2 linked regions of the Oryctolagus cuniculus genome follow. The protein of the gene in region 2 purifies or fractionates together with the protein of the main gene of each other region. This does not show direct contact. Links are inferred from orthologs where the notes say so. Each region holds a gene or a part of one and is shown on either strand. Other genes may lie near its edges.

Evidence for each region.
Region 1: the proteins of KDR (region 2) and CDH5 purify together in Homo sapiens (affinity purification with western blotting; 3 studies listed by BioGRID and IntAct, with this or other methods). This does not show direct contact. The link is inferred for Oryctolagus cuniculus from reciprocal best matches to the Homo sapiens genes KDR and CDH5.

The regions. Positions count from the first base shown.
Region 1 is NC_091449.1:49,342,031-49,345,679, forward strand, and holds part of CDH5 (cadherin-5), read left to right. Parts: intron 1-2,199; coding exon 2,200-2,714; 3' UTR 2,715-3,649. UniProt on the Homo sapiens protein: Cadherins are calcium-dependent cell adhesion proteins. They preferentially interact with themselves in a homophilic manner in connecting cells; cadherins may thus contribute to the sorting of heterogeneous cell types.
Region 2 is NC_091439.1:109,292,636-109,296,284, forward strand, and holds part of KDR (vascular endothelial growth factor receptor 2 precursor), read left to right. Parts: intron 1-322; coding exon 323-431; intron 432-1,845; coding exon 1,846-2,187; intron 2,188-3,649. UniProt on the Homo sapiens protein: Tyrosine-protein kinase that acts as a cell-surface receptor for VEGFA, VEGFC and VEGFD. Plays an essential role in the regulation of angiogenesis, vascular development, vascular permeability, and embryonic hematopoiesis.

The DNA.
Region 1 (3,649 bases), on a different chromosome or scaffold from region 2:
GAGGAAGCTCCTGGCTCCTGGCTTCAGATTGGTGCAGCTCCAGCAGTTGCGGCCATCTGGGCAGTGAGCCAGCGAATGGAAGACCTCTCTCTCTCTCTCTCCCTCTCTCTCTCTCTGTCTCTCTCTCTCTCTGTCTGTCTCTCTCTCTCTGCCTCTGCCTCTCTGTAACTCTGCCTTTCAAATCTTTTTTTAAGATTTATTTATTTACTTGAAAGGCAAAGTTTCAGATCTTTTTTTTAAGATTTATTTATTTATTTATTTATTTGACAGGCAGAGTTACAGAGAGGCAGAGGCAGAGAGAGAGACAAAGAGGTCTTCTATCTGCTGGTTCACTCCCCAGATGGCTGTGTCTGGGGCAGGCCAAAGCCAGGAGCCAGGAGTTGCTTCTGGGTCTCCCATATGGGTGACAGGGACCCAAGCACTTGGGCACCTTCTGCTGCTTTCCCAGGCACATTAGCAGGGAGCTGGATTAGAAGTGGAACAGCTAGGACACAAACTGGCACTCATATTGGATGTCAGCATTGCAGGATGTAATTTATCCACTATGCCACAGCACCAGCCCCGGGCTTCCACTCTTATAACCTAATCAATCAAACTGCTTCCCATAGGCCACAGACTCTAAACTCCATAAGTGGATTCAGTATCCACCCTCAAGTGGGTGTTTAGCCAAGTGGTTTAGCCTGGTGCCACATGGGAGTACTTGGGTTCAATACCTGGCTCCGGGCCGGCACCGCGGCTCACTAGGCTAATCCTCTGCCTAGCGGCGCCGGCACACCGGGTTCTAGTCCCGGTCGGGGTGCCGGATTCTGTCCCGGTTGCCCCTCTTCCAGGCTAGCTCTGCTGTGGCCAAGGAGTGCAGTGGAGGATGGCCCAAGTGCTTGGGCCCTGCACCCCATGGGAGACCAGGATAAGTACCTGGCTCCTGCCATTGGATCAGCGCGGTGTGCCGGCCACAGCGCGCCGGCCATGGCGGCCATTGGAGGGTGAACCAACGGCAAAGGAAGACCTTTCTCTCTGTCTCTCTCTCTCACTGTCCACTCTGCCTGTCAAAAAAAAAAAAAAAAAAAAAAAAAAAAAAACCTGGCTCCGGCTCCGGCTCCGGCTCAGGATTCCAGCTTCCTGCTAATGCAGCCCCGGCAGATGGCGGGGAACGCATAACTAATCCACAAGGAAGGCCTGGGTTGAGTTCCCAGTTCTGGGTTCAGCATGGCCCGGCCCCAGCCACTACACGCATTTAAAGGGTTCACCAAAGGAAAGGAGTTTTCTTACCCCACCGCCTCATTAACACTTTTTTAGAGATTTTTTTTTTTTTTTTAAGTTTTCCTTCTCTTAGTACCACTGACTAGGACTTTGGGGTCTGCCCTCTGCGCGAGTTCAGGAGCCGGATACTTCAGCCAGAGCCTCCCTCTCTGGGGCAAACGCGCCAGTAACCACAAGGGCAGCAGTGGTCCCGCCCACACAGAGCCACGTGGCAGCAGTGGCCCTTCCCACCCCACAGGCCGGGAGAGTGAGCCTGAGACCAGGGTCTCCCTGAGCACGCCGGCTTTACTTCCCCAGGCAACGGCTTGTTAAGTGACTGAGGGCTGGGGGGGGGGGGGGGAGGCTGGGCCTCATTTTAGAAGCTGTCCACACTACAGGTCCATGTCTACACCACAGCCAGACCATGAGACTCCCTGTTTCTATTAGCTAAACTGGAGCTGAACTCCATAGAAGGATCATAACCTCTCCTTGAGCGAGATGACTCAAGAATGAGCCCAAGAGTGCCAAGCATGTATACAGCTGGTGCTTAAGAGAATAGATGCTACTGCAGCAAGGGGCTCCGTGGCTACCAGCACCACCGTTTTCCGTTATTACCATCCTAGTTAGCAAAGTGATGGCGCCCCAAGTTCCTAGTCCATCCCTTTCCCCATTTCTGCCGCAACCTCTGGCTTCCTGGTCTTTGGGACACGGCCTGGGAGGATCCGCCTCAGTGGTCAGAGCAGGGAAGAAAAGGGCGCAGCACAGGGAAGTGGGGCTGAGACCGAGAAGGAGATGAACTTGATGAAGGCTCCCCACCCCCGCCAGCGAGGACGATAGCCAGCCAGGACCACGGGTCCGCCACGGGGGAGGGCGCGGGCGTGGGCGCGGCGTCCCTGCGGCCCAGGAGCGGCCGGGAGCCGCGGGCTGACTCTGCCTGTCGCCCCCACTGGCTGCCCGCAGTGATCACCCTGCTCATCTTCTTGCGGAGGCGGCTGCGCAACCAGGCGCGCGCCCACGGCAAGAGCGTGCCCGAGATCCACGAGCAGCTGGTCACCTACGACGAGGAGGGCGGCGGCGAGATGGACACCACCAGCTACGACGTGTCGGTGCTCAACTCTGTGCGGCGCGGCGAGGCCAAGGCCCCGCGGTCGGCTCTGGATGCGCGGCCCTCCCTGTACGCGCAGGTGCAGAAGCCGCCGCGGCACCTGCCCGGGGCGCAGGGCCCGCCGGGGGAGATGGCGGCCATGATCGAGGTGAAGAAGGACGAGGCGGACCAGGACGGCGGCGGGCCCCCGTACGACACGTTGCACATCTACGGCTACGAGGGCTCCGAGTCCATCGCCGAGTCCCTCAGCTCCCTGGGCACCCACTCGTCGGACTCCGACGTCGACTACGATTTCCTCAATGACTGGGGGCCCAGGTTCAAGATGCTGGCCGAGCTGTACTCAGACCCCCGGGAGGAGCTGTTGTATTAGGGGGCCCCAAACCCGCTACAGCCCTGGCGCACGGTGGACACCAGGCTCGGAGCCCAATGAGGCGGGGGGCCTCACTCTCCAACCTGGCACCCCTTTCCCCGTGGGCCTCAGAGACCTGCCACCCTCCTAAATGCTGGGAAATCCATTCTTCTGTCCTGTCGGGGCTGGGACAGCCACATGCCCCTGGCACCCCCGGAACATAGAGGCAAACATGCCCTAGCTCTTCGAAGAGCAAAGCAGCCTGTATTCAGCGGGGGTGGGAGGGTGGGGGGAGGGGAACTTCCTGTCGGGGCCCTGAACGCTTCTGAGGTCCTGGCCCCTGTCTGCCTGGAGGCAGGGGGCTGGACAGCATGACCCTGGGGGTGAGACACTGCAGTTGTCCTTCACACTAACCCCCAGCCCTCCCAACTCCCTCCTACCCCCTTTGCTAAGCTCCGCCCCAGGCCTGTCAAGGGGCCCCTGGCAGCTCGTGACCCTGGGTCCCAATGCGACCTCAGTGACCAGCCGCTCCAGAACTGCTGTACTGAGCGTTGACCTGTTCAGCCAAATTCAGGAAAAACCGCTGGTTGAACTTGAAGCAACTGTGAATTCATCCCGGAGGGACGGGGAGACCACATGTGACAGAGCACAGCGCGAGGACCACCTCCGCACCCGCCCTGTCGGAGAGGGCCTGGAGAAGCTGAGACCCCGACTGCACGCTCATCTACCCCCCTCCAGCTCTGCCGTGGGGCGCGGCTGTGTTTGGAGCAGAGGCCTCTCCCCATCTCTGCCGCTGGCCATGCATTGCACTCTGCACCGCTTCTCTCCCCCTCTTCGCCTTCTCTCTGCACTTAGAGGCGCTCACCACTAGTCCTGAGCACACTGGCCAACGCCCACCCCTAAATGTGACTGCGTGACAGAGCCGCGCCATTTGCCTTCGCGTCTCGTGGTCGCCA
Region 2 (3,649 bases):
AGCTCGTTGGAGAAAAGCGAAACGCTCGCCCCATTTCATGCGTCCGTCTGTTAGAAGGTGATCCTGATTTTGCGAGCCCGAGAAGGGGAAGGTGTTGTATTAAAATACTTCGTCAAGTGTGTGGTGTCCAGAGCCCTTTCTGTGTAACGTGTGAGCTCTGCGCTGGCGTGGTTACAATTCCATGGCTGTGCGAGTGGTCAGTGGCTGTGCGAGTGGTCAGTGGTGTAGCGAGAATGCAGTAGGCAGGGTGGAGACTCCGGGACTTCAGCCTGAGCACACACGGCCTGCTTTCTTTGTGACCTGGGGTTGTTTGCTCTCATAGACTGTGAGCACCCTTGTTATCCAAGCGGCGAACGTGTCGGCGTTGTACAAATGTGAAGCGGTCAACTCAGTGGGCAGAGGAGAGAGGATCATCTCCTTCCACGTGACCAGTGAGTACCGCTGTCGGGGGGCTGGCTGGGACCACTCACACAGTGCCCCCCCCCCGCCCGGCTCTGTCCTTGCATGGCTGTGAGTGGCGTGGCCTTGGGGAAGGGAACTTGGGTTGCTGATCGGCAGATTTGTCCGTATGTTCAAATGCCAGTGTGTCTGACGTCACTGCAGTGAGAATGATGTCACGTGAGCTTTAAGTCACAAGCTCTGTGCCATATTGATGGTGTGGGCACGAGACTGTAGCATGTGCGTGCCATATTGACGATCGATAAATTCTGCTGCCCTCGTTCAACAGTAGACGGGTTGGGTTTCCTGGAGGCAGTCGGGTGACGCGAGAGCAGATTGAGTTTGCAAATCAGCAAATCTTAGTTTGAGTTGTCTTTGTCTTAGTTTTATGGATAAACCATAGCTGACTGTGTCAGATAAGATATTTAGGCTGTGCTGACTGGTTGTGATAAACATAGCTCCAGTGCCAATAGGTGTTCTGCACTGGTGGGGAGCTAATTTTTCAAATTCTGTGTTAGGATTAGATACTGATGCCCCTTGACTGAGGCTGATAGGATCATCTCACATTGAGAGTTGATTGAAAATGCGTTTTTTCATAAGTTGAAAATACGTTGAATACTCCTACCTTCCAGAACATTATGGTTTGTCCCAGCCGATCTTGAATATGCCCAGAATACGTGCACCAGCCTACGGTTAGGCAAAGTCACCCCAGACAAAGCCTATTTTATAATAAGATGTTACGTAGCTCACGTGGCATATTGAACACTGTCCTGGAAGTGAGAAACAGAATATTTTCATGGATGTTCTTTCTCACTGCCATAAAGTTGAAGAACCCCAGGATGACTCATTGTAAGTCAGGAGTCATCTAAACTCTCCCTTAGGCTTTTTTAAAAATCCTTTTTTAGGGAGGGAGAGGGTGAGGGAGAGAGAGAGATCTTCTAATGAAATGCTCTCAATAGCCAGGGCTCAGACAGCCTGAAGCCAGGAGCCCAGAATTCTAGTTGAGTCTCCCACATGGGTGGCAGGGGCCCAAGAACTTGAGCCATTAGCTGCTGCCTCCCAGGGTGCATTAGTAGGGAGCCAGCTGGGAAGCTGAGTGGCCGGGACTCAAACTGGCACTCTGATGTGGGATGGGGGTGTCGCACATGGCAGCTTAGCCGGCTGCGTTGTAACACCTTAGAGCTCAAGGTAGAGACGTGATGAGTATCTAGGGAATTCATTGACATTTCCAAACAGTACATCTTGGCCACGAGGGACGTTTTGGGACCTGAATGGTGCAGTACATGATGTGGGGGCCCAGGGGCTTCTCTCCTTCGGGCCGGTCGCAGCAGTCCGGGGCCACCGAGAGGACAGTGGTGGGCCGTGCCAGGTCACATGGGCGCTCTAACTGTGGGCTTTCCATTTCAGGGGGTCCCGAGATTACTCTGCACCCGAGCACCCAGCCCACGGAGCAGGAGACCGTGTCTCTGTGGTGCTCCGCAGACAGGACCACGTTTGAGAACCTCACGTGGTGCAAGCTCGGCCCACAGGCCCTGCCGGTCCACGCAGGAGAGCTGCCTGTGCCCGTCTGCGAGAACTTGGGTGCTCTCGCGAGACTGAATGCCACCGTGTTCTCCAACAGCACCAATGACATTTTGATCACGGAGTTCCAGAATGCTTCCCTGCAGGACCAGGGCCACTATGTCTGCTTTGCTCAAGACAAGAAGACCAAGAAGAGGCATTGCGTGGTCAGACAACTCGTAGTCTTAGGTAGGGTGGGACTCGGGCTCATCCTGCCTAGTCAAGTCGATGCCTTAAATGCAGTGTTACTGGGTGCTGTGTGAAGATGGTTGTCTTCTTCAAGCTTGTGAAACAGATTGGTGCACACATAACTTATTTGTTTACAAATCGTCCAGGCTTACAAAAAAGCTAATAACGGTGAGGTGGTATCTTACAAAGCGATAATAACAGGATTGTTTCCAGTCTTGTGCTGGGGTAATTCACTCGTGTCTGCAAGGGATTTGCTTGTTCTGCCTTATTTTTGGGCATTCACGTATTCCAGTAGACACGTGCTCGTGGAATGCCTTCTGAGAGCTAGAGGAAGGCCAGAAGTTCGCAGGGGTGAATAGGATGGACAGGATGAGCACAGAGGCGCCCACTGGGCTCTGTCAAGAGGAAGGGGGCGTGTTTCCTGCTTCGTTCCCTGCCATAGCGCTAGTCATCGGACGTAGTGGTAAAGACTAGGTGCTTGGGATCATCTCTGCTGCTTGCGGAGTGTGATGGTGGGCTGAGCTTAGGATCTAGACGAGTCCACAGGAAGGGTGCTGTGCTCAGCGCCTGTGCTTCTGGGTCAGCCCAAGTGGTCTGGCACAGTTCAAGGCCAACGGGATGATTTTCCAAGGAGGAGATTGTTGCTAAGTTTCCTGTTGTGTCACTCTCTGCACCTGTCTAAGTGTGTGTCTCGTGCACAAGCCCGCCAGCCAGGTCTCTGTTTCTGCAGGAAATCAGACAGATTTGGGGAGTCATTCTTTGCGCTATTTCCCCTCCACTTCCCACCTCCTTTCAACGGCATTCCCAAAATGTGTGTGTCCCCAGAGAGGGTCCTGCCCAGGTAAACTTCTCTCTACCAGACTTTTAGAGGACTAGCACCTTGCTCTGAGGCTTTGGCACGTTTCCAGGGCTAGCCTCAGACAGACGCTAGGTGACGTCGCTGGGTTTGGTGGTCAGCTGTCTGGAGAGATTCTTGTGTCACAGCCTCTCCCGGACCCTTCAAATCCCACTGCATGTGTGACCCCGTGTGCTCCGTAGACATTGCTGAGTGGTCTGATTCCAAAGCAGTGGAAGCATTCAAAGCAAGCGGCTTGCTTCTTCGAGGACTCCTTAGCTGTTTTCCTAACCTCTATCCTTACAACTAGGCTGGAGTCCACTGCGTTTGCCTCGGCGCCAATGTAGAGGGTCGTGGAGGTCAGCTCCTAGTGCTGAGGGTCGCGTGGATTCTTTCAGCGTGACTCCCGTTGACGTTCAGTCGGTTTGGATGAGATATTCCCACAGCTGTCTAATGATGCGTGTAAATCACCCAAACATATCTAAAGGTTCGCCATGCGTTTCAACAAATGCCCTTCAATCCTGGACCCAGCCTTTGGGGCTTGCTGTTTTGTTTGTTTGTGGTTTATTGGAAACCGCACTGGGCTGGTCTTTTCAGCTCACTGGATTCTATTATTAGTTCAACTGT